4 linked regions of the Drosophila melanogaster genome follow. The protein of the gene in region 3 interacts with the protein of the main gene of each other region in a pairwise test. Each region holds a gene or a part of one and is shown on either strand. Other genes may lie near its edges.

Region 1 (6,858 bases), on a different chromosome or scaffold from region 3:
AATGGAGCAGCTCTTCCACAGCAGTCCCGAAAATGTCCAGTTTGCCGCCGATTTCAATCGCCAAAAGCAACAGCAGCAACAGCAACAGCAGGCCAGGTGATGATCGATCCCATCCAGATCCAGTGATCCCCGCCAGCGCTCCTGCCACATAGTATTATGCTAAATGTTTCCTACATGCCAAAATAATTGGTAAGTCCCTGATGCTAAGCTAGCCCAACTAATGGTCCATAAATCCATGTATGTATGTACATGTATGGCCAATAATGATGACATGGGTGAAACAACTGTAAATTTATAGGATAGATTAATATATATGGACATTTTCATGACATGGTACATACCATTTAGTTTTAAAATGAAACGAAAATTGATTTTGTATGCTAAAAACAAATGAAATGTAAATAAGAGTAAAACGGAACATTTATGGCGATTAAATGTAGTTACCAAAAATCATTATTATGTATCTAATGATACATTGTTTTCTAACCAAAGTCGCTGAAACCATTTAAAATTGTTCCAATGTAAATTCGAATTGTATAGATAATTATTAGGAAATACAAAGTATTTTAATGGTTGGCAGTCCCTTAGAAATAATAAATTTTTATATATTGTCAAAAATTTTAGAAATACGTTTCGGTTGGGTTATCAACTCTCGATAGCTAGGACATTCATACATTAAGATGTAGCTATGTATGCGTGATGATTCCTGTTCTGAAAACGTAGCATTAAGTGTTTAAACAAAATCGCATTTCAATGATAAACGTTGTGTTGATACTTCTTTCAATAATAAACGACTCGATTGTACAAAATGAGCTTTTGTATTCATACAAAAAGCAAGTCTTTTATTCAACGTTTCAACGTTTTATTTTGTTTACAAGTAGATACTGCTATATTTTGATTATTATCGATAAAATGAGAGGTGTAACTATGTTATATCAATATTGTATGGCCCTTTTAAGATCACATGTCATTATATTATTACATATATTATTACCGCCCACTGTTGAGCCAGCATTTAGTTTTGCTATGGTTTCGCATTAGCCTCTTGTTTTTGTGTTTTTTTTTTTTGTTTTTTGTTTATAGAAGATATGCTCAACATATCTTTATACGTAGTCCACCGGTTCTATGCCCAGGACGGCCAGAGCCGTATTCAGGACCTGTCTCACCGCCTTGATCAGGTAGATCCTGGCGTACAAGATCGGCATTAGTTCATCGCGCTTCTGAAGAAGGACCTTCTTATGATAATAGAAGCGACTGAAGGCGGCAGCCAGGTTCTCAACATAGTGCACAAGCAGATGGAGACCGCAATGACCCTGGTCCAATTGATCCATTATGGACTCCATTAGCTCCGGAAAGGTAAGGAGGTAGCCATAAATCAACTCCCAGTCAACCTGCGCAAAAAGAACATAGAAAAATCATAAAATGGCATGATACGGCAAACAAAAATCACATACATCATCCTCTAGAACGCTGAGATCGATCTCATCCAGCAGTGGCAGTTTCTCATAGGCACAATTGTTAACCTCATAATTAAATTTGCGCAGCAGCGCCTCCAGACGTGCTGAATTGTACAAGATGTAAGAAGCGCCCTTGCAAATGCCAACTCCATTGCGCACCACACTCACGGCGCTGGAGTGGCGCACCACAAAGAGATCCACAATCACGGCAGCGGCCGCAAGACGCTTCGTCAGCGTATCAAGGCTACTCATTGGTACCGGACACATTCCGGAGCGCTGCGTGGCCATCAGCTCCATGTGCTGGCAGCGCAGCCTGCATTGAAGAAGCAGAATACGAAAGAAAACACGAATAAGAAAGAGATGCAAAACATGTGAGTTTTTAGGTTAACTCCGAAAAAAGAGCTTGTCGAAACATGTACTAATACAGTATGTGCTTACTTTAAGTACTCGTCAACAGTCAATGAGCTGGCGCCCTTATTTATCGGCTCCAAAACAGGACCGCATGTGAGGCACACATGTTCCACGGGCTGCTTGCCGTTGCAGCATTTCTCCAGCTCGACAGTCACACAGATGGTGTCCTTCTGGCGGTCATTCGGCTCCACGAGGCGCCAAGACGAGTAGTCAACCAGGCGCAGCAGTATCTTGTATAGCTGCTGCAAGCGATAGTGGCGCAAGTCCTGCCCGCCATCGACGGCTCCGACAACGGCTTGCAACTGCAAGCATATGGTGCGCGATTGGTTGTTATTTGCCGAACGGCCGTAATCGCCGCGCAGCGTGAGCACAGAGTTAAGCACATGTGCAATAATCGGATGGCGCTGGAAACGCAGAGAGTAGCGTTCCTTGTTCAGCACAGTGATTTCGGCGAGCGGGAAACGCCACTTGCGTGAATGCTCCATCAACTCCAGGCGGTCCACCGGGCTGGGGAGCAGTTCGTCGCCATCGATGCGCAGCTTCAGACCCTGGCTTTTTAAATATTTTTGCCAGTAACGCGGGATGGCCGCCAAAGTCAAGTCACCCTGCTCGGTCAGATCATCGTTGTTGTAACGGATCAACTTGCCGAATTTCTTCAAGAGCAACGGAGCTGCTACATCGCCACCAGACTCATCCGGCTTTTCCGGCTTGGTAAAAAATTCGAATAATTGCTGGCCAACCTGCAACCTTGGATTACAATCCATTTTTCACTGAATAAAATCAACTTCTTCTGCCTGCCGTCAAACGCAAATCTTCTGCCTGCCGTCAAAAGCAAATCTTCTGTTCGCCGATAAATGGTTTTACCGAAAAGCGCGAAATATAACAATTTAAATTCTGTTGAAAATAATTTCACTTGTATAGAAACATAAACGAACACTTGTAAAGTATGAAAACTAGTGATGATATGTCAGTAATATAATTAAAGTTATTTCCAGGCTTGCCTACTTAAATCCTTAATTTGCTGAAAACCAAACACTTCACGCCAGACGCACTTTTCGTAAAGGTAAATCATCGATAGCTCAATCGCTAGAGGTGGGTAATCATAGCTACAAAATAATCGATACAAAATAATCGCTACTAATATCGCAAATTCACAAAAAATAATGAATCTTAAAATAGTTTGCCTTGCTTTATACCACTTTCAAATATACACCTAAGCTAAAAGGGCCTGCACATTTTTAATTTAAAGAAATAACCAAACCAATAAATATCCAATAACCAATAAAACGATAATAGCGCAAGTCTCGTGATTGCCACACTGAGTGTCAGGTACCGAAAAACACGCAAGTGCCATCCCTATTTCAAAAGAAGTGTTTTCTTGTTGCCTGCGCGTGTTGCGAATTTTGGGAGCAGCTTGAGCAAGAGCCATAACGCAGGTTCAGTCCGAGATTGGAGCAATGTCCAACAACCTGCAGCCGCGTGTGGTGGACCTGGGCGTGGCTTGCCTGGTCTGCCTGGCGGAGGAGCCCGAGGCCAGCTCGATCTATGGCCACGACCCGGAGTCTCCTCATATGCTCATCCTGGACAAGATTCGCTGCTGCACCAGCCTGCAGCTGGACAGCAGCCCGTCGCAGCTGCAGCGCTGGCCGGACAAGATCTGCAAGCAGTGCCATCTGGAGCTGTCCGTCTCTTATCGCTTTCACGAAAAGTGCACCGCTGTCCAGAAGCTATTTCGCTCCGCCAGCCGCTCTACCTCGACCTCCGCCGTCTTCGCCGCCGCTGCTGCTGCTCCTCCTGCCCCTATGCTGGTCGATAAGCAGCAGGAGCAGCTTAAGCTTGATCTGGAACAGGCTCACGTTCGGCTGCCAGCAACACTGAAAATAAGGAGGCTCAACGTGGAGCCCTGCTCTTCCAGTTCAGTAAGCGGTACAATAACTACCAGCACGGAGCCCTCCGAGGATGTCAAGGAGGAGAAGACCGATTCACTATCCCTGATACCAGACGGAGCGATGGTCCTATCCCTGAATGACTTTCAAGCGCAGGATTCTATTACTCAGCAGGCAGAAGAAAAGGACCCTAAAAAACAGCAGGATGAGGATGAGGGGCAGGCCAAGATGCTGGAACTGGATCCTTGGGATGACGAAAACACGCCGGAGCATCTGTACGAGATCGAGACTCCGCTCATCGAGGAGTCTGTGGTGGCCAGTCCGCCGTTGCCGTTGCCGCCTACTCATCCCGCCAACCAGCAGAAAAAGCGCACCTACCGTCGCGTTTCGCCCAATGTGAAGCATGAAAAACTGACGGCGAACGTGGACGATGATTTTAAGGCCGGTTCCACGACCAAACGCCGCAACTGCGAACGCTCGCCAAAGATCTGCGATGTTTGCGGTAATACATACAAGTACCAGCACGCGCTAAATGCCCACATGCGGCGTCACAACAACGAGCGCCCATATTCCTGCGAGGTGTGCCAGAAGGCGTTCATCTCAAACGTTGAGCTGCGACGCCACATGCGCGTCCATACCGGCCAGAAGCCCTACAGCTGTCGGCACTGCGAGCGTCGTTTCTCGGACTTTGGCAGCAGCAAGAAGCACGAGAGGATCCACACCGGCGAGCGGCCGTATGTGTGCGAGGTGTGCAACAAGGGATTCGCCTATGCTCACGTTCTGTCCGCCCATCGGCGGACGCACACCGGCAAGAAGCAGTTCCAGTGCACGCAGTGCGACAAGGGTTTCACCAAGAAGACCTATCTGTCGGCTCATATGGAACAGCACCGAGGCTCGGGCAACGGCGAGGCATCGGTCGCATCATCATCCGCTGATGCATCCAGTCGCAACCAGAATGCCTCCGCACGGAAGGAGTCAGCGCGCAAGCAACAGCAAATCCCCGAGTCCTTTTCGCTGGACTCCGTAGAGCTGGAGCAGACAAAGGTTCTCGAGGAGTGCATTGTGGCGAATGACTTCATGTTCAACGAGGAGGACAACGCGGAGCAGGAGGCCAATGACCGCGAAGGGCTGCAGCATGACGATTCCTACCCGTACGTCGGTGGCTACCAGAGCGTTGACTCTGTCAAGGAACTGGTCGGCGATCTGCTGGACACCGAGGAGTTCTGTGACGAATCCAAGTACATGATAGAATAGTATTACTACCGGGACAACTCACCGCACCACTAAGGGGCTGTCTCCACACAAGGATGGCCCCAAACTTCCCCACCCCGTACCATTTAGACAACCAGGCTAAGAAGCGTAGCTCTAAGAAATCGGTGTAAATAAAATGGAGATATTCGGATAGAAAGCTTATGAAATATTGGCTATTTTTTATGGAAAGTGGCTTTAAATAGAACATATATAGTAATGTGAATGGAATATTACTTAATGCGAATATTATTTGGGGAGCAATTGCGAAGAACCTTACAAACCCACAATAAGTAGTTAACAATGTGCATTTATATTCTAGCTACTTTAAAGGGATTTATTGTTTAACAATTCATTAGAAGAAATGAAAAGTTAATACATGTTTATTATATTGGTAAGTTATGCTTTATGCTTATATTACCTTAAACAATCTGAGGCCTTTGAATCTTTAGAAAAAATGATAAGGTAATAAATGTTTATTAGTTTAGTAACTTAAGCTGTTATATTACTTTAAACAAATTGAGGACTTTGATTCTTTAGAAGAAATTATACGATTGTAAATGTTTATTATTTTATGCTATTATATTACATTAAACAACTTGAGGACTTTGATTCTTTAGAAGAAATGATAAGGTAATAAATGCTTATTATTTCACTACCTTATGCTGTTATATTACTTTAAACAAATTGAGGACTTTGATTCTTTAGAAGAAATTATACGATTGTAAATGTTTATTATTTTATGCTATTATATTACATTAAACAACTTGAGGACTTTGATTCTTTAGAAGAAATGATAAGGTAATAAATGCTTATTATTTCACTACCTTATGCTGTTATATTACTTTAAACAAATTGAGGACTTTGAAGACATGTTTAAATAAAAATTGGTATACGTGAACTGCGAATAGCGAAATGCAAGAGCCACACGCATGTATCCGAAACTAAAGTCAGCATTTCGCAAAACAAATCAACTTTATTTGAAGGCTACCATTGAAAAATCTAGACTTCTTTACTCTTCAGCTTATTTTCAAGCACGTACTTAAGTTTAACTTTCAGCAACCGCACCAAACCAAGAAACAATAAAAAACGAAATTGTTTCTAAGCAAACTGTGTAAACAAAAGCACGGAGAGATGCTGTTTAGAGCGAATAAATGCCACGAGATCGAATTTTTGGCCATCCAGAACAACTGTGCAAACCAGGCACAGTGAACAACCAGTAAGAGAGACGTTTGAATTTTATCTAGTTTATTACAGTAATCGGTTTAGTCAAGTTAGTTAGGAAACACGCGAATGTGGCGTGCTTTTTTTGTGACCAGCCAGGTAGGGGTATAATTGTTCTAGGATGGTTCGTTCACGGCAGCCAGTGGACACTGTGCCGACGCGTACCGAACGTGGCCACGTTCTTGAACCGGTTTTGGCGGATCGCTCCGGCGGGGTCAACGTTTCGCCCTTTGGCGGACAACACCGGGACATTAACATAATTCATATTGATATAGTTGGTGTACAAAAAATTTCTAAATATATATATATAAATGTATCAAAATTTAGACGGTATGGGGATGCCGAGGGCGAGGAATTTGGGATCGGTTTTACAACACGCACACAACAGACTTTTAGATGGAACAATGAAACTTGAACATCGCAGAGCAGCGGCTAATCCTCAAAGGTGATGCGGCCGGGTCCGTGGTTCTTCATGTATCGCCTGTACGCCTTGTATCGTGGATTCTCCGCCAGCTTCTTTTTCATCTCCTCTTCCTGTTCTGCCTTCCAGGCGACGAAGTTCTCGCGCTTCCACAGCTTCAGATGCAGGTACTCCTCGATCAGCTTGTCCTCCTGCGCCTCGAACTGATGCT
Region 2 (6,882 bases), about 17 Mb from region 3:
AATATATTGCAACTATGCCGTTTTAAAAAATGTATCTTTAATAGTGGGTACTGATAGTATGTAGCTTATTTTTAAATTTTGCTTTTAGTCAGAATGAAGAAATCAGAAATCGTAGAATGAAAATAGTTAAGTTTTTGATTTGCATTAATCTTTTTTCTCTTTTCCCAAAAGTCTTTTTCTTATTGCTAGTAGTATATAAGTCGGAACGGGCCAGATCGGAGCACAAAACCACATTGCTGCATAAAAACAGCCAAAAACAAAAAGCAAAATGTTACTTTATAAAAACGATATAAATTTACAAGACTATTAAAAATATGAAAACAGATCATAACCTTTTTGAAAAGTGGGGGCGTAACAGGGCTTGGGGAGCTTGTCGGCGTTAGAATGGGCGTGGCAATTTTTTTGGAATGTCTATAAAAATTTACAAGTCTGTCCTTAAAAATATCAAATCATTTTTCAAAAGTGTGGTCGTGGCAGTTCTGGGCTTTAAAAGGGGCGTGGCAACGTGTGTCAACAAGCTTGCGATGCGTCCTTGTCTTTATAATCTGTATGCTTAATATCAACCTTCTTGCTTTTATAGTTCTTGAAATCTCAACGTTCATACGGACTGACAGACAGACGTGGCCAGTTTAACTCGGCTATTCATCCTGATCAACAGTATATATACATATATACTTTATATGGCCCAAAACGCTTCCTTCTGCATGTTACGTACTACTTACAACGAATCTAGTATACCCTTTAACTCTACGAGTAACGGGTAAAATGACATATTCATTCACCATATGGAAAACTTAAACCTAGTAACGGTATGGTATATAAAACATGAAAATGTATCTTCATTGTTTTTTTCTTAACGTATCATTTCTACACGGGTGTTTCAGCTTTCTTTTTGTAAAGTTTTATTTTTGACCACTATTTCAGTTCTGCGTTTTTATCAATTTTAAAATGTGAAATTGCGATTTGGTTATTATCAGCGTTGTGCTCACTAGAAATACGGGTATGTTTGTTACATATAAATAAAACACCATATCGAAATGGCCTACTTCTTGATATATGATATGATATGACTAAAGTCCACATACATTATTGTATTCATTAATAAAAAAACTCAAAAATAGTATCATGATTCCATAAACCTTCTACTTCTTTCGGGCTCAGTGATTTCGACGTTTGTATTGACGGATAAACATGCCTAGAGAGGATCGGCAAGTGAATCTGGTCAAGAACATGTATGCGTTTTAGGTTAGGAATCCCATGGTTGCCGAATGCCCTCGTCGATCAATCCAAACTGCCCGCTTGTTAATTGCCAACTATCACGCATCTTGAAAAATGATTGTTTGAACTTGTTGCAGAGAGTGGTCTCAAGAAGTTTTAGGTGCACTGTGTATCTGGAGCAAATAGTCGCAATTGTAAAGGATCGAATGGAGACGGCATAGATCATTGTGTCACTTGTGCGATGTGAACGACGTCGCACTGTCTGGCCGATATGAAAATATTCTCAGGCCCGAGAAAAACAATAAGCAGGTAGGGGACACGTAATGTAAGGACTGCACGCCCCTATCAAGCGGACAAATTTTCGATTGTCCGGGAAGCTGGGTGTCCACCTAGATCCGCTTTCATAAACTGCACCTATTGTCCGCTTTTAGAAGTGCCATTGATAGTGACCAGGAATCGATTGCTGTTCGAACAACGAATTCCAAACAAAAACACATAGGTAATTTTTCGACTTGTCGCAGACACTGTGTCTAGGTCTCTTTGCTCAGGTGAACCACTTTATTGTCCTAATGAATGACGCAAGCTGTCAGCTGAGTAATGGCGAATTTACGTGGGCACATCTGGACCGAAAGAGGACTGTGGGAAAGATTGCCAGCGACACGAATGCACTTTTCCCTTAGTTTTGGCGCTGCTCATTATCGCGGCTTGGTCGGTTTCAGCTTGTCTGGGGTGCTGTTTCATTTTGGGTAATTTGTGAATGAAATTTGGATAGATTCGGACCAAATGACTTGTGCCTTTTAATCCTTTTATGACAGTTCAAATGCGATTTTCCGATTTGCCTTTGATATTGGCGGCATGACGAGCGGTTTGTCGCACGATCTGGTTAACGGGAAGTGACAGTGGATCATTAACATGTAAAGGTAATGGTTCTTGGTTTTTAGCTCCTCGTATACTCGTAATGGAACTATGCATTTAATCATTGGGGAACAAAATTGCAAGTTCTATGTACATTTCTCCTCATTTCTAACACCGCCCAGGTAATAAAGGTCTTTCTTGTACGGTTTTTCTTGTGTATTTTGTGTTGTAAACATAAATCGTATAATTCAACTCTCAGATATAACCATGATCGTATAATTTTGTGTATAAATCGTATGTATCTGGTAACCACGATCAGCTTATAAAACTGTTAAAGTATCAGCTTTAGTATAACTTAGACGTAAATCCGGGCATCTCTTAAATTTCTTAATCGCTTAGCATATGAGGAAGGATCACTTAGGGATTATTTACACATGTGCCGAATATCATAACCAGTCACGTAGCTGGAAGTGTAAATACGCGTTAAAAAATAAATATCTCAATATTTGCATATATCGTCGAGGTCCAAAGATTGGGTTTGGTGAGTGCGCCACATTGCGCCAGGTACGGCTGAGGTAGTTCTGTCCACGATTGGCTAGGCAGTTTTTGCTGGCGTTAAGTTTCGTTTCGTTGGATTCGGTTCGGTAATGCTTGTTTAAAGCGTGCAAGCGCTTTACAGATCGCTGGAATGCAGGGTCGCGTGGCAAGGGGAAAGCTCGCCAGGATTTCCCTCTCAGTAGCCATAAAGGTATGAGTACATGGGCACGAAGATGGACGGGCCCAGCTGGCGCTCCTGCGGCATGTGCGTCTTCATGTGCTTCTTTAAGTGGTCGCGTCGGCCAAACTTCTTTCCGCAGGCACTGCAAGGATACGGCCGCAGTCCGGTGTGGATTCGCTTGTGACGCGTCAGTTCCTCATTGCGGGTGAAGGTCTTGCCGCATGTGTTCACGTCGCACTTAAATGGGCGTTCGCCTGCAGAACAGAATGGAGATAAGTGAGTGGGACTCTCGGGGTCAGATGTGTTCTGGTCGACTTACCGGTGTGGATGCGGATGTGGCCCTTCAGCTGGCCGTTGTTGGAGAAGGCCACGTCGCAGTTGGGGCACTTGAACTTCTTCGGCCGCTGCTTGCGGCTGTTGAGCGCCTTTAACTGTGCGTCCTCGGCCATCACGCGGGCGTACTCTTGCTCCATCAGGCCCATAGTGAACGGGTCCATGCCGAAGCCCGGGACGGCAGTGGGCGTGGAGGCAGCAGCGGCTGCTGCGGCGGCGGCAGCGTAGTAGAGATCGCTGGCGGCCGACAGGAATGGAGCGTGCTGGTTTGGCGGAGCCAAGGATGCGGTGGCGGCGGCGTGCGTGTCCAACGGCGACGACTGCGGGTGTGAAAAGACGGGGTGCGGGGCGGCGTCCAGCAGCGGGGTGGAAGTGCGGGTGTAGCTGCTGTGGTTCAGGGCCTCCTCGTAGCAGGACTTGCTGCTGTTGCTGCTGCTTGACGCAGAGGAGGATGCGGAGGAGAAGTCTCCGTCGCAGTCGTGGCCGAAACTGCTGCTGGCCAGCTCCGTCTTGATGGTAATCGCCTCCGGCTCCTGCTTCACTGTCCTGGGTGCCGCCGAGGTCGCCGCCTGGCGCTGAGTATCCCAGGGTCGGAAAAGTCGCGAGTAGGTTTGCGGGGGATGCAGGTTAATCGTCGACATTTTGCAGTAGTTTTAATGGAAGGTCTAAATTGCTCTCTCGCGACACTAAATCACTTGGATGGAACACTTGTGATTATGATTTTGGACTTGATTTGGTTGTGCGGAGCTGTGTGTGTGCTGCGAGATCTCGACTCGAACTGAGCTCTCCTGCCCCGACGCCTCTCAATTTAAACCCAGGACTCTGGCTACCTACACTTCGTATACCCAGGCAGTCATTCGTCCTGCGTTCACACACACGCGCACACACATACACACTCACCCGCACACGCACACGCACACTGAGGGTCGCTTCATTCATCGATTATTTGTCTGTCTGAGGATGTGCGAGCGAGAGGGATGCTTCGGGGTGGGTTTCGCTTTCAGAAACGGGCACGGATTCGGTTCGGTTCGGTTTCGAGGGCACAACAATGGCGGCCCGCTCGCACACACACTCGCAGCTGAAGTATATAAGGCGCTGGTGTGTGCGTGTAGTCCTGCGTAGTTTTCCCGGTCCGGAAAATCGAACTCCCGACCGAGTGGCGGGCAGCTTTCCTAACTTGCGCTTTCTACTCTTTCCACTCCGTACTACATATACTGGGCCCAGGCGATCCCAGCAGCGCGGTGCCTCCGATTTGGGCGCAACTTTAGCAGAGCATTTGCGTTTCACGGTTATGTTATGAATTGTACTCACACCCACCCACCGACCATGATTCCCGGGTGGTTGGCTTTGGGCTTGGCTTGGCCCACTCTCCCAATCCCAATCCCACTCCCAATCTTATACCCATTCCCAGTCACAGTTTCCTCCTCCTTCCCTCCGTCCAGACACAGATACTTCTCCAAATGTATAATTCGGTTATCTGCGGTTCGGGTTTCCTGTGCCCGATGTGGCAGCAATTTATTATTAAATTAAGTGCTTGTTCGAGGGTGGCTCCGCGACATCACGAATATGCAAAGTGCGGGCCAAGCAGCTGGGCAGGATTTGCAGAGATTGCCAGGCTTGAGCGTGTTGTTCAGTTGGTACAGTTCGCCTAAACTTTATCTTTATCTCTGGGGGTGCTTGAGAAAAACTTTACTGGCTCGTGGAGGCGTTTGCCCTAACGCGATTCTGGCTGCAGACTACGAGAACAGATACAACATACTTTGGCTGAATGTGCGTTGCTACACCTAATGTTTTAATTTAGAAGGCGATATTGGCTTTAAGAGTTCGTGTTTAAGTTCACAAGTTTTTCGCATGCATTGGTAGCCGCTACAAATTGCTGTTGCGTTTACTTTCCACTCCAATTTTCTGTATGAATTTGAGTTTAAAGGGAAAATGGTACTTAATATTAATACATACCCTCTAAGGATTCCCACGATAGGATTAGTAGTGTTCTGAGTTCAATCTTATTTTCTAGTCAACAAGCATTGGAAGTAAGCCTTCTCTAAATTATGAATATATGCCTCCTATTTTTGCAGCCAAATGTATTATATACCTCTATATTCTTCGACAGATACCTGAAATAATTTCGAAATCAAATTCTAATTCTAATCAAGAGACGACGGATACAGCATATAATCATAAAAATGTTTGCTGCTAGAATTAAAAGAAAGATTTGCGGAATTGAACGAAATATTTTCGTTTTGTTGTTTTTTAAAAGAGTATAAAACTGCTGTCATCGGACCAAAGCGATAATAACTTCCTAAAAGATATCTGCTTTCTAGGGAAGGTGCATTCCGCAGGCCTAGCGCCTTATGCCCCTGTCCTGCCATTTAGAACAAAAGGGAAATCATTGGGATTACGTCCAACTGCATTGTTCGACCAATGCTAATGAGTGCAGCGGCATGGCTGGGTTGTTGTGGGTTTGTTAGTACCTATGTATATGTAGAACCGTCCATAAAACGCGGTCCGCGGAGAACATTTCATTCACGACTGAGCTCATTTAGTAAATTCATTCATAAACTGGGATTGCCGTGAGCAGGGACGATCCTGTGATCTGGATAGATCCCTTGGTGGTCGGGTGGCAGGTAGATAGCCGATTGGGCTGGCTTGAGGGTGGTGATACTGTAAAATTCACTAGCTTATTTGCGTAGGTTTGGACTTGGGCTTGCAGCAGCCTGGGATTTTCCGCAGTAGATTCTTAAAGTAATGAGCGCCGGTATTTCCACGCAATCGTCTCACAGCCCGACGGGTCGTAAACTGCAACCTACCTAGGACAATGCGGCACTCATAACCGGTATGAAAGGAAGTTATAAAATAATTAGATATGGTAACCACTCGGCCAGCGAACGTGAATTCATTCATGGAATGGCAGGATTGCCTGTAACGATTAGCTGCACTGTCCAATACCTGACGGGATATACACCCGAGATAAGAACACGACGTAATATTCATATTTGGATTAATTAGGAAATTTCACATGCGCTCGAGCTGGGACACGCCACATATGAGGAAAGTACGTGAATTGTTGATATAGGATGGACGTAGACCCAGACGGCGACATGATCAGGGGAAACTTCCAGCGTAACTAAACTTCAGTCGGCAAATTACTTTGCCACAAGACACATAAGCAAGATTACGTTTCAAAGAAGTGGAATCGCAAGATTTAGCAAGCTAGACCTGATCCCCGCTAATAGTACCTATCATTCCAAGTGTGTAAACTTAATAGAGTCTTCACGAGCACATAGATTACGACTGGACTAGGGGTAGGGGGTTTCAATAAGCCCCCAGCTCACTATTTGGTGATCCTGGACGAAGATTGAAAGTTCGAACAATTTCGAAATGGTTTTCCTGATTGAATTTTCTGAATTATGTTTATGCGGAAAAGGGCTATTAGCTTTTTCAAAAAAGCATGTCCAATGCATGTTTTACAAGGAAACCAAATTACAAGAAAAAATTTCAACTTTCTTAATGTATAACTTTTAAAAACACTCGTAGAGTAATACCTAGACTATCAAATGCCCGTTAATCTGCTCTGAGATATTGATAAGAATCTGGAATACCAATAATAATATCAGTAGTATTTTTTGTCGTTGTAATTTGTTAGGTTAAAAATGATATGTTTTTTAGAGTATATTTTAGTAAGTGACTTAAATTTTACATCTAGTAAATGTGGTCAAATTGTTATTCTTATTTATTATTATCAGAATTAGTAATAAGAG
Region 3 (10,026 bases):
AATTACATGAAAGAAATCCCATACACTTTACTTTGAGTATGAACATGTAGATAGGACAACGCAGCAGATTTCATTTCTTCATGCGTATATAATATTAAACAATTTAGTATTATTTTAATGTGTATTACATTTTGACGGTTTACGGTGATTTTCATTAACTATAAAAAAATTTTCAAGGAGGGCTCCCAAAATTTAGCTTAGTTAGGGGCATGTTTTTTCCCAGCCGAGCGGACCATTTCCCATTGATATTGTGAGAATAACCGTGTTTGTCTATTATTTCTATTAACAGGGTAATGATTTCCCAACCTACTCAGTACCGCAATCAAGGCAACTGCGATTTTCTCGCATCTGGGCCCATTAAACCGAGCTAAAAGGCTCATTGGGCACTTCCACTTACTGTGCGGTGGGTTCATTAGGCATTTTTAGTTGATTCGATTAATGGGTTTCCACGTTTACGCATTTCTGTTTGTTTTAACGGAAGTGCTCGGAGAGATTTTCCCATAATTAGAGCCCGGCTACGTTTACCTCGAATTGCGGGGCAAATTTTCTCAGCCAATAAAAAAAATGCCACCGGTAATGGCAGCTGTAATTTGTAGTACAACTCTATTTCAATTAAATGCTCTCCAGAGATACTTTCGCCGGTCACTTTCCAAGCCTATTAATAACGCTGAAGACCGAGTAATCAGAAGCTTTTAGGGCCCACTAAAAGTTTTTATCGCGGCGCATGCGTTGCATTGTCACACATTTGGAAATGAAAATAAATTGCTTTCGACCAAGTTTCGAGATAGTCGATCTGCATCTCATCCATATGCACGAGGCTTTTCCCGTCTAGTTTACGAACTGTGAGACACTGGGAGTGGGTTTCGAATGGACCAGTTGGTCGTATGCGATCCAAACGAATCGGATTGGTATCGGGCATCATTAGCAGCGGAATTGATAGCTTGATTATTCAAATGATTAACAAACGATCGGCTGCTGACCAAGTTCGCTGGGTTCGCTTGAGTGGGACCAAATCGAGTCCGAGATTGATGGCGCACTTCAGTCGCGGAGAGATCGCAGGTCATCTTGTCGGCCTCTCAGCTCCTCAGCTTCTCAGTTAGTTCGTCATGTTGGGATTGAAAAATGTGTCCGCCGCTGGCGATGATGGGCCACCTTTGAACTTAGCCGCAAACGGTAGCCAGAGAGCAGCCGACTTTGGCTTGGAAATTTATGAAAATGATCGCATCGAAAATTAATAAATATCGAAATAATTTCGAGTAAATTTCGTATGCAAATTGGCGACGTGCACAAATCGGCAAAAAGCCAGTCACATCATCGCCCGGCTTTGCACACTTAAAAGTGTTGAGTTTCGACTCGCAGTTTTTGCCTAACTCGTTTTCGATCGTGCCAAGTGATTAAATAAATAATTAATTAGTTTGAATTTATGAATAACGGTTGTAAATAATCATTAATAAAAATTAAAAAAGATTTCTTTTACTTTAAGACTGCGCCACTCAGCACAGCCCCAAAATCCGTAGCAACATCATTAGCATCGATCGCGCCGAAGCATCAGCAGAATATTCAAATTAGAACTGCTGGGCTGGCTTCCAGATACAGATGCAGATACAGATACACAAATTCGAATTGAACTCACCGAAACAGGCCGAATGGAAGCGCTCGCTGTGACTTGGGCATTGTTTGCTTAAATATGCTTAAATTTATTGACAACAATTTGCGGTCTTTTATATCTGCCTTTGTTCGCATCAAATTATTAATTGGAGTGAAACATATTTCGCTTTTTAGAGCTAATTGGCTGGGGAAATACATACTGTGTTTTTTAAGTTGCTTAAAACTGTATTAAATATTTATAAGATTAGATTTCTGTAAATTATAAGAAAACTTATTAATTATATTAATCAGGGAAAGGAGAAGAACCATCGATTGCTAAGAAGGGAGCTTAAAAGTTGAACTCATAAAATTTTAAAAATTAATTGTTTACATGCTTAGTTGCTCCTAAAATGTTAGAAAAAATAATCTGTAGTTTTGTAGTGTTGGAATATTGATATTATACGAAACACCTTCATTTGAATAACTGCTTAGCACACCATTTGAATGTACTATATCAAAATCTCTTTAAACTTTCGATGAAAAATTTAAACGCCTCTTTGTACATCAGTTTGGTGGCTCTTAAAAGAGCCGATTATAATCGATGTGATCCTGGCTGTAGAGCCGAATCCAAGTTCTGGCTGGTTCCATATCCACTTCCGTTTCCGGCTATGATTGTTCTGGCTTGATTACACGGCCCACAAAGGGGCCTTGGTCCTGGCTGGTTAGTCTCCATCGGGGCTTGGCATTGAATGTTGCCCTTGCCCTCTGCGTCGTGGCCATGGAAGATGTTAAGGATGTCCTGGATCTTCCTTTGGCCGTCGAATGCCTGGTGAAAATGAATTGGGCGAAAAGATGCGTCCCAACTTTCCCGGCACTCAGCTCAAAATTAAACAAAATACTCGACTCCTCGTTGCTCACTTTCTGTACCAATCATCAGGTTGCCTTGGCGGTTCGGTGCGCACCTGGCCACGCCCTCATTTGGGCGGAGCGCCTCCCATTGGCACGGATCCAGGCACGGGAACCACCATTCCGGCAGCGGCTGCCGCAGCCGCCAGGCCCACCATATCTGACTCATGCATGGGCTTCTTCTTGAGGATGCTTAGGTCGTTCACGTTCTCCAGGAAGGACTTGTGGGCGGAGAAGACCTTGACGCTATCGAAGTCCTTCTTCAGCTCCTCGATGTCCCGCTTCTGCTTGGCTCGCCGGTTCTGGAACCAGGTGATCACCTGGGCGTTCGACAGTCCCAGTGAGGCGGCGATCTCATCGCGGTCCGCTGGCGACAGGTACTTCTGGTAGAGAAATCGCTTCTCCAGCTCGAAGATCTGGTGGTTGGTGAAGGCGGTGCGCGACTTGCGCTTCTTCTTCGGCTGCGGCCTGTTCGAGAAGATGTCCAAGTGGGATTTATCTAAAATGAGAGTGAAGATAATGATGGGTTAGTTAATACATTTAATTATGTGTAGCTTATTGAACAATCATATCATTATTTGAATTTAATGCCTTCACAGGTACTTGATCGCATGCTAAGCCCGCTGCCGCCCGACATAATATATGTTGTTATAGTAATAAGAAGATAATTTTTCCGAATAGCTCATATTAATTGGAGTCAGTTACTCCAAGTGTGGCCAGTGAATTCTACGATGCACGGCATTTGGCGAACCGGTTACTAACGAGCGACTTTGGCTTGGTTTTTAATTGCCTCTCCGAACAGAGCGCGTGTTGATGGAAATGCGGTGATTGATACATTTTATGAATGCAACTGCGATTGCAGTTGGAGTTCTCAGATCTGAAATCTCGAATTCGCGACCTCAGTTCGCAGCTTGAAGTGTATAATTTCAAGTTGATTGATTGCGCGAGTGGTGGGCGTTCATTGGCTTTGTTGGTCTAATGACGATCGCAGCTTTCCCAGTGCCGCGACTTATGCAAGACAGCGGCTCATTTGTCTCGTTTGTAGTGTGATTTATAATAATTATTGACACCTACAAATCAGTTTTAAGTGGTACACGTAGCCACGGCTTGATTAATGAGCCACTGACCCGTACTTAAAGCGCTGATTGAGCTTGCATAACGTTTCCTGGTGCAAATTATTAACCAAATTCCGGGGCGCGGTGCCAGTCAAAGCGATTGGAGCAGATCGCCGATCATCAGCATAAATATTTATCTATTGAATATTGGCTAACCGGTTTGATGGCTTGGGACGATGGCTTCACACCCATTTCGATTGCTTGTCAAACAAACTAGATCGACATTAAAAACTAATTAAATGCCCTCCAACCGAATGCAAACGAAGTCTCCGGAGCTTGGCTATGGGTATACCCGTTTTACATACACATACTCGTACATTTGGAATGCATAATTTGGTCATTTGTTATCTCGAGCACGTTTTGTAACCCAAAACCCATTAGGCACTTGACTGCACGCCTCCCTTTCCTTTCTCCGAGCCTTTCCCCGAGCCTTTCTCCCCCACCTCCGCAGCTATTGTATTTGTTTTTATCGGGCCTCATTAAGTAATTTCCATGACTTATCTCTGGAGAAAGGGAGTCGAGCGGGCCACTTGGGTATCCTTTTACCCACTCAGGTGTCCACTTACAGGCATAAATATGGCTCTTACTTGGGGGAGTTTTGTTTTGGTCGCATTTGTCAGGGCTTCATGTCGAATGCGTTTGGGAACGCAGGAGGAAACCCGATCGATTTTCGAGGAACCTGCCGAGCAACAGTTGGCCACAGGGAGTTTATGTTTTAATTTGGCGCGAGTACCGAGAATCGCAATTAAGATTTGGCCAGCAGGGGCGACACCACGTCTGGCATTCCTTCCACTAGCTGGAGCGTTTATACCACGGCAAAAGAGCTGAAACATCACTTTCCATATGTGAAAATATCTTCGACTAGTGCTAGTGATATTAATGGGACCTAGTCATAAATTAGGAGAATCCAATGGCCCCACAGCTGCCTATCTGCCTATCGCCCTGCGCAGACTTCCTCCTCCGCACTGATGATGATAGACAAACGACGCATCCAAGGCGCAAAACCAAAGAAATCCGTCGTAAATATTTCGAGCGCAGCTTATACAACGCATGATAAACAGTAATATGTGTATTTTGTCAACTTAATACTCGGAGATACGGCATTATACAACGCGGAGCAGCGAGTGTCGTCGCTAATCGCTAGTTGGGGGTATTTTAAAACATGTTTACGACTGGAGCTGTGGCCACTATATTTACTGTACAGACGGGCTAGAGTTTGTCAGCTATTATTTTTGAGTAGCAACAAATGGAAACGGCATGTTAATTGTTCGCCACAACAAAACTCGATTAGGTAATGCACCAGCCAGCTAATTGTTGCTAATCGCTGCAGAATCGACACGACTAACACCAATATACTAATGCGGATAGTGCGGACTATTAACCATTAATTGCCATGAAATCACTTTGGGGTCGGGGGTGGAGTGCAGGGAGTACTTGAACGCCCACTAAATGCCCTCGGTCGAGTTTATGCCAAAATAAACCTAAGTTGCAGAATAAAAATGCCGCAGAATGAATTATACTTTATCATCAAATTGGTTCGTTTGTTTCTGTCGACCGCTGGCGCATGCTGCCAATTAATTAAAAGCCCGAAATCGAATCGGTTAAGGAATTTACATAACAAAAGATTTCAAATGGCGGGTCGCGGGCGAGTGCTACCATTTGTTTCAATTAAACGAATTTCGAATTTGCTGATTGATAAATGGAAAACGTCATAATAAGCTTAATATTCAGCTTCTGCGTTTGCGATTCCCCAATTTCAGAACGATAACAAATTAGAAGCTTTTATTCTAATTAAGAAATCGCGCAAATTTATTTCGAAAATTGAGACGTTTTTCAACCGAGACACACTGATGAAATCAATTGGGCTACTAAGGATTCCATAATTTAGATATTGATTAAGGAAATTTCATTTAGCTTAAATAAGACTCGTAGTTAGAATCATATTCATATTCATATCATCATCATCAATCACTTCAAGCCACTCAACTATTTTCCAATAAGAAGAAAGAACCTTTACGAACTATAACTATGTATGCAATGTATATTTAATCTCCTGGATGATGCTTACCTTGCGACTCGTCAAAGTCCTTTGTGGTCATCTGGAAGAGAGCATCCAGAGGAGTGTCTCCGTTTGACTTTCCTGAACCCGTTGGCTGCTCCTCTGATTTCTTCTTCTGAGCTTCCTCACTTCCCTCTTGGGTGGTTAGTTTTTCAAGTTTTTCCGCCTGCCGTGGGCTGCAGCATTCGGTGCTGCCATTGCTGCTGCTCGATCGCTGGGAACGCTCCGAGCTGCCGTCCTCGGAAGCGATGATCGCGGGATTCATGCCCATGTGGCGAAGGAGCTGGGCCTGGGCGTTAAAGTGTTCCTGCAACTGGCGATGGTAGTCCAGAGCCAGGCGCTGCTCGTAGTGCAGCAGGGCGGAGGGGATGAAGGGGCGGACGGGCATGGTCGGCCCCAGGAGGTGATCCCACGGCCGAACAATCTGTCCGCTTGGCAGGAGCATGGCAGCAGCAGCGGCCGGGTGGACATCCAACGGTTCCGTGCGTGGTTGCAGTAATCCGCCCGAGGGGGCAATGGGCCGGGAGGCAGGTGGAGCCAGGAGGTTTGCATTTGGGGGCGGGGAAACGGACTCCTCGCGCTGCTTCTCCGAGTGACCCAGTATGTCCGCGATGGAGAAGCTCTTGACCCCCTCGATGGCCGACTTGGTAGTCTGGTTGGTCTGGGGCTCCGGAACTGCTGACGGTGGACTGGGCGTGTGGTCTCGTGGCTCCGAGGAGGACGAGGACATGCGCAGGCGCTTCAGCGGATGGAAGTAGTCCTCCGGCAAATTGCCGACGGCACTCCGGGTGAGTCCGGAGGCGGCTGCAGCTGCTGCGGCGGCTGCTGCGGCATGGTGCTGCATCAGCAGCTGCTGCTGCTGCAGCAGATCAATGGTGCTGGCCCGTGGATGCTGCAGCGGATGAGGATGCGAGTGCGGATGCGTATGATGCTGCGTGGGCAGCGGGCTGGGGGCTCCGCCCACGGAGATTTCGGATTCGGCGGGACTGGCCGGACGCATGGTTGGAGGGCAGAGCATTTAGGTTCGCTTCAGCACTTGGTTTCTTTTCCGAGAGTTTCGTTTCAATTCGTTTGGTTTAGCACTTAACTGTTTTTCAAGACGGCTTTGTCACTACACTGCAAGTCGGTACTGACGATACTGACAAGCCTTGTACACTCAAATCTTGCTATAATTCCTCTGATTTGTTTGATTAGTTTACACTGATGCTTCGACACGACGACGCTGATCCAATGGCGTAGGACCTCTCAACTCGACGCTTCGCAGTCAACTGTTCGAAACTAGATTGAAGATTGGTTTGCTAACTAGACACGTCGATATTTCTTCAGTTCTTTTGCTGCCGCTGCTCTCTGCCGCAGCTCTCGTTCGCTCGCTCACTCTCTGTCTCTCTCTCTTTCTCTGTCTCGCTCGCGAGAGAGCAAAACCCGTTCTGCGAAAGAGCGAGATACCCTTATGGTAGTGTCATCTCGCTCTGCTCGGCTCTCAGCACCAATCGGCTACAGCAACAAAAAATAGCAATGGTGGCGTATACGTAACGGTAATTATGGCGTTCATCATGAGACTGCTGTGCAAAAGGGATGGCAGACGGCGAGTGCGAGCGAGACGGGCGCTTCTCAGATTGTAACGAGACTGTATTTAGTATTTTAGTCGCTGCAAAGTTTTCACAACTCCAAATGCGTCGACTGCGGCGCAGGCAGTGACAGAGGGGGCTAGGAGCCCCCTCCCCACTTTATGTACAGCTCGTAACCCCCTCACAGTTAGCATTAATGACGATGACCCCCGAAGGCAGCCTGCGTTTAATTGTCAAGCGTTTGCAATTAATTTGCCTTAAGAAAAACGAACAATTAATTTGGAGGAAAACAAAAAATAGAAAACAGTGGGGATATAAAAATGCGCATAAATTTGAAGACATTTGGAAATTAATTGGAGTCTGAGAATGGAAATGAGGCCAGTTTCGTCTGAATGAAAACGAATATTCTCTATTTTCAGCCAAATTTGGTGGGAAGCCAGTTTATATAATTGACTCTAGTTGCTTAGATTACTTATTTCGGTGTGTTTTCATTCCCGACGGCTTTTTTTATTGCTTGATTTCAGTATTGTATTCGTATATTTGAATTTTTATTTTATTTATATAATAAATTGTGATGCTAGTAATATTATTATTAATCGAAATATTTTGTTGTTGTAAAACATCTTTATGTAATATTTAGTTGTACAAGTTAAATTACGTATTAAAATAACTTTACATTATTTTCGAAAAAGGTAAAAATTAAATCCCAATAAAAACATTTCTATGTCACACATAAAAAATTTATTTTTTCCATTTTTAATCGGAATACTGTTAATTGTGAAATAAGTAAGGTTAAATGATACATATATGAGTGTTTGTTTTTTTTGGTTTTAGTACTGAACATGTTCCCCTTTAGGATTTCTATGATACTACACATCGACATTAAAAGGAGGAGCTATTTCATTTTCCCTGTAATCCCTGCCGTCCAAATTCGAGCTGCACTATTTAAGTGGCTGCCAATTTGCAATTGTCCACACGTCTTAGTGAACTTGAAGGCAATTGCTGACACCTTCGAGGCAACAAACAACGCCAAATCCCTTTAATTGAAACAAATGCGAGTTGCAGCAACAAACAGTGGAGAACAAAGGAGGAAATAGTAGCAGCAGCAGCAGCAGCGGCAGCACAAAGGCGTCAGGGCGTCTGAAAACAAAGGGCCAGAGGTCTATTAACGAAAAGTCGAAAATCCAAAATCGAAACCAATTGCTGCCGCAGCAGGATGCTAAACGAAAGGAATTGCCGGCGACCACCGCAGGCTCAGCGCCCGACTTTAGCCGCAGTCGGTCTGTCTTTTGGCCCTGACCTGATCCGGGACCCTTTCTGAGGCCATGGTGTACTACTACCTGGTGCTCCCGGTGAGCGACTGTTGATAAGGACTAATCACACAAATATTTGAGCATTCCGCTTGTGATTGAGGCTCGCCGCGAGCGGCGCGTTTGATTTCCCGCGTTTAGCGCTTCTGTATTTTTTATAATTCTAATTTTGGTTGCCCATTTCACCTTTGTTCTCGGCGGCTATTAGTGTATCTATTAGATACTTACGTACACACACGAACGGGGCCTGCGTGGGAAAAGCCGCCGTGTTAATTATGCCAGGTCCTTGAGTCGATGAATCCTTCGCGGGGAAGGTCAATTTACACCTGTGCTCCCTCTCTAAATTTCCCACTGTGTGTGGCTCCATTCACACGATGATAAACTCCTGCAGTGAAAGTGCGGGGAAAGGGTTCATTAATATTCAAATTTAAAAGCAGGGCGACGATTTCTTTGATTTATCGGCTCAACTTCAGCTGCCGCATAATGGTGGAGCCAGCAGCCGGAGCAGCTGAATCAGTTCATTCCGCCGGAAACGATAGATTTTCTATAATTTAGATTGTCGCTCCTATCGTCAGATATCTAAATGCCTCATAAGTACTAGGTGGCCAACTACGTAAGCTTGGTATAAACTAGCATTGCCATTATGTCATAATACATTGCCTGACTTTGAATAATACTAGACTAAATTCATGAGTTAGTTGATGCTAAAAAAATATTTATGAAAGGTTTACAACTTAAATTTAACGTAATTCTTGTATGGCCGCAGCTAAGCTTCTTTTAAAGGCCAATACTATCTTCCAAATAGCAAATCAAATCAGAACATCCCGCCTTATGAAGTCCTTTCACTTTGCTGAAGTTGACTATATTTTACCATCACAGCAAGTGTATATCCGTCGTCATAATGCCCCAACTACCAAAACAACGACTTGTCTGTAATTGTCAATTAGCAAGCTTTCAACGGCAGCAACAGCCTGAAGTCACAGCTTCCATAAACAAATTTATATTCGTCGTTTTTGCCATTTAGTTGCCCTGAGCGATTTGCATATGCCATGGAGTCACTTTCGGTTCAAGACTTGCAGCTCCACAGCGACCCACGCAGCATTGACACATGCCCGTCACTGCCACTTGATCTCGCGGCTGTGCGGCAGATAAAAATCCAAGAGATTGGAATCGAGTTTGGTAGCATGTCGAAAATTGTAATACTACCGATGGCTAGACGATAATTATGCATTTAAGCCGCCTTTACTTGCTCCGCTCCAATTGGGTGTGTTCGATTGACCCAAAATGATTCAAAAAGCTTGGGAGTCAGCTATAGTGGATAATCTGATGTCTTGCCTTATTTTCAATTACTTGAACTCAAATTAAATTGTATCGAAATTGTACTGTACACAAAATTAGTAGCTAATTTTTTCCATATTCCCATGACTGGCAAGCGCTTGCGACAAATTGAGCAATCATTTGGCCATATTTCTGGCTTAAAT
Region 4 (8,349 bases), 2.8 Mb from region 3:
TAAGGTAAAACTAATAGCAGTTCTTAAACATTATTAATTAAAATTTAAGTACAAGGTAAAAGGTCGATATGGAAAATACCGCCAAACTCAATAGTTGGAGGATTTTAGGAAAAATCTTTATATTTTATTAATAAATAGCATTGGATATGTATTTTGGAACGTTGTCTATGCACCTTTTTTTAAAGATACACATATTAGGCTTTAAAGAACTGCTATTGGCTTTCGCACAGCTGCGGATGGTAAATTGTAAATCATAAATAAATGCAAACGAAAATGATTTTGGTAAGCGCGCGCAAAGTGCAAGCACCAACACACACGCACACACACGGACGCGTAGCACACACAGAAACACTATACAGTTAGAAAGAAGAATGGCGTGGGCGGGCAAAACAAGAAGAAGAAGGAAAGCCGTATGTCGCATATTGAAAATCGTGGGTATCAGGAACCTGTGTAGGATTACCTGGCTCAGTTCACTATTCCTAGGAAGTCACCTCAATCGGAAATTCTGGCTCAAATTTACTCGCCGTCTCTCCTCGTTTCGCGCGCTCTTTTCGCTCTCCGCCTGCACTTACTCGAGGATTTTGAAAGAAAAAGGAAGCCGCAGCTGGGGATTCAGCAATATTCGATATTCACTGTGAAATTTAACCGACTTCTACCGTTTTTGGTGCCTTTATTTGGGTCCTATATTTGTTATTTTATTATTTTGCTGCTTTTCGTTCGTGTTTGTCGGAACAGAAGCGACGATTCTGCTAATCAACCTATTCGTTTTGGATCGCTCTTTCTTCTGCTGGGCCTCTGCTTTTCATTTATTTATCACGCGACTCGCTTTCATCGTCGGTTCTTGTTTTTGTATACATGGTGAGCAGTCGGAGTTGCCACTCGGTTTTATCAGCGGACGGTATCACGGCAAGATTTGTCCAAAATGCGTGCTTATTCGTCCAACTGAAGTCCGGCCTAGTGTTCTGATAAAGTGTGAGACAACGTTTGTTTGTAAAAAGAACTACTCAAATGGGATTTCAGTCAAAACAAAACAAGAGCACATCACACACAAGACGCACACATACACACAAGACGCACACGCACACAGATGGTCAAAGAGGTGCAGGGCTGAAAATAAAAACACGTAGATATTTCGTACTGTTTGCTTTACTAGCCACTTTTTTCGGTCAATGCTTTTTGCTGAGGACTCGGCTTTCGACGCGATATATTTTATGTAGTTTAGATCTCTGGATGGACGATTTATTTGTGAATTTATGCTGCTGCTACTATGTGTAAACTTTCGTTCTTCGCTTTCCTTCGTTTTCCATTTCTCTTTTGTGCGCTGGTTTGGCGTACGCGGAAATGCCCACTTGCTGTTAATCGGCTATCGGAAAGAATTTGCAAGCAGGGGCTCCAACTAGCGTATTGAGAAAGTAGCTATATTTTGTATGACAGTTAAGACCCCTGTTTTTTGAATTGATATTTTTTATAGGATTGAAATCAGGAGCTTTGAATTATTAATTTGTAAAATAAAATGAGTTTATTTTGACAGCAAACGAAAATACTTAGCTAGAATCGAGCTAAACCATTAAAATCTGTAAATACTGACTAATCGATAACCTTACAGAGTTTCGATAGATCCATTAGCCGCGAATGCCCTTAAAAAGTTGTAATTTATTTAATTTAATGTTGCGTGTTTTTAAAAAAAGGTTAATATGTCGGGGACGCAAATGTCTGCCTTCCTGAGAAAGTATCTAGCCGACGAGGACAAAAAAATTCGTGCGCAATTCAAAGAAAGCGATCCTAACAACAAATTGATTCTATGGATGCACGAAAAAACGGTAAGACGCATTTCATTTTGTAAATTGAAATTGTATATTGTATAGTATCCTGTATTTGAAGAGAATAACCGAGGAGGACTTGGCACGCCCATACACCGAGGACGAGGTAAAGGAGCTTTGTCTACGCACCAAAGTGAAGGTTGATATGACCGCTTGGAATTGTCTGTGGGAAGCCAAAAAGAGGTTTGAAGCAAAAGGACGTTTTGTGAACAAGTCTGAGAGATTCATCAACCGAATGTATATGAAAGCGGTGCGCAGAAAGATGGTCCAACCGTATCCGGAGGAGTTTGTGGCCCAGCGAAGAGAAATAGTTGCAGCCGAGACTAAGAAGCAGAACATCAGCCGATTGGATAGATGGCAAAAGAAAAAGAGTCAAAACCTATCAGCACCAGAATCCTCTCCAGACGCTCATGCATCTTCTAATGACGCGGTGCAGAGCCACGAGGACCAAGCAAACACAAATCTTAGTTCACTGTCTCAAATGAACTTTCAAGTGGAAGCGATGGCTCCGCCAGGCGTGTCGTCATCTGATCTTAGCGGCATCGGAGACGATGAGGACGAACAGCAGCAGTCAGGATTTCAGGATGAGAACATCAACCGTCCAGAGACAGAGATTAATGAGAATTCGGTGAGATGTGATCCAATTAATTTAGGAAGGATGCGGACTGGATGTATAAATTCGCAAGCAAATAACAGTTTCCGGAATACGGAGTCTGATCCGGACTACTATATGTTTGGCACCCAATTGAGCACATTAGTACGACCCACGTCGACTCAAGAGCCTGACGATCAGGTAAACTGTCCAGAGACAGAGATGAATGAGAGCTGGGTAAGGTGTGATCAAATTAATTCGGAAAGCTTGTCGATTGGACCGTCAATTGATTCGGAAGGAACTATCACTTTTCAAAATACAGAATCTGAGCCGATCGACGTCACCTCAATAGCCTGATGTCCATATATTAAACTATATAAAGTTCTTCATTTATTGGTGTTAATTAATTAAAAACATGTAATCCCTAAAAATGTTATAAAATGTATAATAAAAATCTTAATTAAAATACGATGGTCGATTAAGCTATGTACACTAATCTAGGATGATCCGCAACCGGAGCTGTACAAGAAGGGTAAACATTTAAAATGCTCGCTTTTACATAATTACGCTATGTACAATTTATATATTGCTAAACCATGGTCCCATGGGGCGCGGCAGGGGGCGGTGGGTGCTACGGGAAGTGGTCAAACAAGAACTGTTCCATGAACAGCGACTCCGAATGCTAGTTGGACGAATTGTCGCCAGGCTCACTGACCGCAATTGTCATCTTCACTTCATCGCCACTGTCTAGTTCTGGATCCTCGTCATCCTCCTCATCCTCGCAATCATCCATATCGTCCTCGTCGAGCTCCTCGTCTTCGTCGTCCTCTTCGGTCAATTCATCATCCTCCTCGTCGTCCTCATCATCGCCGAAACTATCACCCCCGCCGCTGGCCTCCACAGTCGGCAGCTGAACGATCGTGGCCCCGCCCGGCGTCACAGTTGAGCCTGCAACCGTGGCCGCCACACTGGAGGCTCCACTGCCCGCCGCCGCTGAACCGCCGCCCGGAATCTCAATCGTCACAATGCCGTTCACCGTGCTAATGCTTTTCGGTGCATTGCCACCCTTGGTCTCCTGCTTGATGCTCAGCTCAATTAGCTCCACGCCAGAGCGGCTCTTAAAGTGCGTCTTGATGTGCTTCGACAGGTGATCGCTGCGCATGAACTTTTTGTTGCACTCCTGGCACTGGAAACGCTTCTCTCCCGTGTGCGTTCGTCGGTGGCGCTGCAGTTCATCGGAGCGGGTGAAGCGCTTGCCGCAAAACGCCCAGGAGCAGACAAATGGTCGCTCGCCAGTATGCCAACGCAGGTGAGCCCTTAGATGGGAAGTTTTCCCGTATACCTTATGGCAGCCGGTTATATGGCATATATGCTGGCGCTTCTTGTCCGAGTGTTTTTCGCCATCTGTACAATTGGGACAGGTGCAGGCTACTCGCTTTAAGCGTGGTTTGGGCTCTCCAGTCGCTGTTCCACCGCCGCCGCCAGTTGCAGCACCTCCGACGCTGGCCACACTTATGTTCATATTGAGATGGCTTTGTGACGGCGTTGTTATAGTCGTCGTGCTGGTGTTCGTGCTCCTTATGCTGGCAGTTGCTCCCCTAGCCTGCGTCGTGACGGACACCACTTGGCCACCAGTCGGCGCAATTGTAATCTGGGTGCTTGACGTGGTCACAGCGTTGACCTTACTTCTTGCAGGTAACGATACGGGAATTGGTTGGGTTGTGGCTGGGGTATTCGGTGTATTCGTCGCTTGCTGTGGCAGGGCTGTGATCTGAATGGAGGCTGGTATGCTCAGGCTGGACAGGGAATTGCTTTCCGTATGCAGGAACTTGATCTGCTGCTGTTGCGGTGAGGCTGTGTTTGGAGTAGAGGCAGGTGCCGGAGGATTACCAGTTGCGGAAATGGGTCCAAAGGTATCCGGCGGCTCTTGCTTGATGCTGGTGATCATTTGCGTTGGACTCTGCGGCTCCTGCTTGGGCATCACCTGAACTTGGCCCTGAGTTTGCACTTGAGGATGCGACATGGGTAGTTGGGTTAGTACTTGCTGGAAGTTGGCTGGCAGATTAGGAGGCAGCTGATTGGCGTGAATGATTTGCACTTGACCCAGGCCTGGGATGTTCTGGATGGGTAAAGCCTGAAGATTGGGCATCTGCATTGGTGTGGGCACACCAGCTGGAGCAGGAGTGGGTGCGGTAGGCGCATTTGGGCGTAGTTGGGCGGGAATCACGGTCAGCTGTTGGCCCTGGGCATTGGTAATGGTGATGGGCTGATTGGGCGGCAGTTGTCCCCCCGCCGAGGCATCGCTGATCGCCTGAAGGAGCTGCTGGTGCTGCGCCTGGACCTGTTGTTGTTGCTGCTGCTGTGCCTGTTGCTGTTGCGCTTGCTGCTGCTGTTGCGCCTGCTGCTGCTGTTGTTGTTGTTGTACTTGTTGTTGCTGCTGCTGGTGGGGATTCTGGATATGTATAATGTTGGCATTCGGAGGCAGCTGAGGATACGGCATTGCCAGTTGCACCTGCTGAATCTGACCGTTGGGCGTAACAATCTGGGCTATCTGTGAGAACTGCGGGATGATTTGCATCTGCGAGGCGGAGGGCATCTGCAGGGATTGCGCCTGCATCAGGTTTTGCAGTCCGCCGCTCGATGTTGCCGCTGCCTGGACGGGCACATGTACAGTCTGGTAGATGGTCTGTCCGTTAGCAGTCTGAACGGGAATCTGCACAGCAACCGTTTGTTGCTGCTGCGGCATGGCTGGCGCCGGAAACTGCACCAGTTGCGGCCGCATCTGCAATTGGCCGTTCTCCAACTTTATAGATTGCCCGCCGCCTAGTAAATTGGAGATATTGGAGATGTTTCCCAGCAATCCATTCGCCGCCGCTACCGAGGTTGGTATCTGCAGGTTTGTGCCCGGTATGGTGATGCTGCCCGGCAGCTGACCCGCTGTCCCACTATTGGTAACTCCCGATCCATTGGCTCCAGATGCATTTGTTCCTTGTGCCTGCTGTTGCACTGTACCCTGGTGCACTTGTTGTGCCTGCTGTTGTTGCTGAATGAGATTGGTGACGGGTATTTGAATGTTGGTGCCGGGTATGGTGATCAGCTGGGTTTGCTCCTGGCCCAAGCCGTTCAGCTGTTGCAGCTGAATGCAGTTAGAGGCTGCCGGATTAGCTGCCATCTGGGGAGCCCGCAGAATTTGACCGTTGGGCGTGATAAAGGCCTGTTGCCCGTTGAAGTTGACCGCCTGAGCGGTGGCCAGTTGTGCATTGAGGTTTGGTATGAAGATGGCCTCCTGGCCATCAATGTTCACCGTTTGCATGGGCATGGGCTGTACGATCTGGAACATGTTTTGGGGCATGCCAGCGTTCTGTCCGTTCCCGGCAACCGCTCCGCCTGCAAACTGAGGAGGCATTTGGTGAATGTTGATGATCTGCTGCATGGTTGGTGTCCCGGGAGCACCGTGAACCTGCGTTTGTGAAGCTGCTGCACTAGCTCCATTTGGTGGAATCGTCGCCTTGCTGGAACCGCCTGCCGCCAAAGGCGTGGCGGGTGGCGCACTAGTCGCCGCACTGGCGGCACTCTTGTACTGCAGCATGGCAGGGCTTTAGATGAGATTTGGTCAATCACAAGTGCTTGGAGCGAAACATGTTCAGTTTTTTTATTCGCTCAGACGCGCTACTCTGCCAGGAGATTGGTAGCATTTAAACCAAGGTGGCACACATGGGGTTATGAACACTGGGATGCGGGGTGCCGACGCTAACATTCAAACACATAAATAACACGAAGTCTAAAGATAATTGCGCTGCGAGACGGTTTTAGCGAGTTTTTAGTTTTAATTTTGTTTTGACACAAACGCAGAAGAAGAAGTGAGAGTGATTGGCCAGGGTTGCATTGCGTTGCATCTCGATGGCCGCCAATCGACCAACCAGCCAACCGATAGTGCGATACCAATAACAAACCGCTAAAAGCAAGAAGAAGCATATCACAGATAAACAAATTTTTAACCGACAAGTTGCCTATCCGACAAAATCCATATTTAATTAGATTGCATCTTGAAAGGGGCATGGAGCCGGTTCCAGAGGAAGCCCGAGGAGTGGGTGATGACGAAGGGGAACTCGATTGTCTAACACATATGATTGGGGCGTTGCTTTTGCAAAAAGAACCGGAAAATCCTGAAAATGGTGACTCAAAGGAAACAATTTGGAGTGGAGAGCTCGAATGGGAGGATGCACAGATATTGGATCAACCGAAGACTCTGCACACGGTCCAATGCAAAATCTGCTCCATGGTTAAAGAAGGTCAGCCGGAGATCAACACGGAGAACTGGCCAAACAAGCTGAAAACACAACTGATACCCAAAAAAGTGCTGGGTAAAATTGGCGAACAATTCCTAAAGGATGCCAGGATGGTTGTATTCCGATCCAGCCAAGGAGAGGTACTCAATTTATTGATCACGGCGATGAGCTCTGGTTTCGCTGGTTGCATCCACTTCCCCTCCAATCCCAACTGCAACATCAAGGCTCTAATTCTCATCTACTCGCGCGATCATCAAGCTTTGGTTGGCTTCATACCCAACAATGAGGATTCGTTTAGCGAACGACTGCAGGAGATTCTTCAGGGTGCAAAACGAAAGCCGGGCGTCAAAACACCCAAGCAGCCACAGCCAGAAGAACCGCCTCCTGTGGAGGAAGATGCCATTATAAATGAACTCCTATGGACTGGATCGCTGAATTGGTCGACACAAGCAAGTTTAGAGGAGCCAAGCATTAGTCACAAGCTTGAGTGTTCCGTGTACATAGCTATAAAAAACGGTGATCCCGGGATCAGTGCGGAGGATTGGCCAACTGATATGCCTATGGTTTTGATGCCTTCAATTTATCTTGGTCAGTTCGCCGGAGCGTTTATAAAGGACTCGAAACTTATAATTCTCCGATCGACACCTGGAGAAGAACACGACTCGCTAGCATCATCAATGTCCGCCGGCAGTTGTGGCTGTGCCCGATTTTCCTCCGAGGTCGTCTGCAAGGTTATCATGCTGCTGTATTCGTCCCCGAGGAACGCCTTCCTGGGCTTTATTCCGAGAGATCAAGCTAATTTCGTCAAGCGATTGCGGGAAGTATTAGACGAACATCGCCAAAAGGCGAGAAACAAAGAGTAAACAAGTATCTCAAGATGATCTCAAAGTATATTTAAAATATTTATTTGAACTCTAGGTATATCAAATTTATAGTCATCGAAGAAAGTATTGTTTTATAATTAGATATTTTTTTTTTTTTTGTTTAATTATTATAAATATAGACCAAAGAATATTTAAACAAGATACGCTCGCACGTCCCCAGTGGGAAAACATACCAAGGCTAAAATATGTAATCAGATAAATAATCATAAAACTGCGAACTCCTGAATGCATTTACGCAAGTTTGTATTACGAATGTCTGTCATACGTTGCCATATTAAAACTTAACCGATCTTATAAATAAACATTTTTGATGTGCATCTATTATGTTTATGTTCTACAACTAGGTCAAGGACAACTGTGTTATCGCATGTCAGATGCTGCAGCATTAATAGACATTAAAAAAAAAACCCCGACTGTAAAATAAGTAATCTAATGAATGCTTCTATTTAGGAAGTTTGAAATAAAAATAATCTTCCGAATGCAAAATCCTTTCCTTTTCGTATTAGTTGTGAATTGATCGAATAAGTATTTTCATATGTTGGGTTCATCATCTTCGTCTTAAGGATTACATTTTCAAAGGTCAATTAGTCTTTTTCATTGCGTAAGCCTTGTAAAAAATGTTAACGAATTTGATTCAGTTTTAAATTTTGAAACGAACCCATTCGATGCGGCCTTGAATACCAGTCATATATATATTGGAGATCTTTTACACATTTTTAGTATAGTTTTCGATTTCTTTAGCGGATATCAACATGGCCTCAGTA

Evidence for each region.
Region 1: the proteins of lbe (region 3) and CG9215 interact in a two-hybrid assay, tested with the Drosophila melanogaster proteins (one large-scale study listed by BioGRID).
Region 2: the proteins of lbe (region 3) and hkb interact in a two-hybrid assay, tested with the Drosophila melanogaster proteins (one large-scale study listed by BioGRID).
Region 4: the proteins of lbe (region 3) and Spps interact in a two-hybrid assay, tested with the Drosophila melanogaster proteins (one large-scale study listed by BioGRID).

Annotation. Positions count from the first base shown.
Region 1 is NC_004354.4:15,579,236-15,586,093, reverse strand, and holds CG9215 (uncharacterized protein), read left to right. Parts: upstream 1-3,219; 5' UTR 3,220-3,325; coding exon 3,326-5,008; 3' UTR 5,009-5,164; downstream 5,165-6,858. Other genes in the region: Chsy (chondroitin sulfate synthase), read left to right, coding at 1-100; CG8097 (uncharacterized protein), read right to left, coding at 1,104-1,391, 1,455-1,770, 1,896-2,632; CG7872 (uncharacterized protein), read right to left, coding at 6,659-6,858.
Region 2 is NT_033777.3:4,342,739-4,349,620, forward strand, and holds hkb (huckebein), read right to left. Parts: upstream 3,909-6,882; 5' UTR 3,766-3,908; coding exon 3,111-3,765; intron 3,046-3,110; coding exon 2,807-3,045; 3' UTR 2,277-2,806; downstream 1-2,276.
Region 3 is NT_033777.3:21,439,409-21,449,434, forward strand, and holds lbe (ladybird early), read right to left. Parts: upstream 7,130-10,026; 5' UTR 6,686-7,129; coding exon 5,677-6,685; intron 2,993-5,676; coding exon 2,562-2,992; 3' UTR 2,169-2,561; downstream 1-2,168.
Region 4 is NT_033777.3:24,220,655-24,229,003, forward strand, and holds Spps (Sp1-like factor for pairing sensitive-silencing), read right to left. Parts: upstream 6,281-8,349; 5' UTR 6,002-6,280; coding exon 3,095-6,001; coding exon of another isoform or gene 3,044-3,094; 3' UTR 2,791-3,043; downstream 1-2,790. Other genes in the region: twin, read right to left, coding at 174-193; cav (caravaggio), read left to right, coding at 1,254-1,271, 1,689-1,820, 1,882-2,769; CG13609 (uncharacterized protein), read left to right, coding at 6,470-7,564; Acp95EF (accessory gland protein 95EF), read left to right, coding at 8,338-8,349.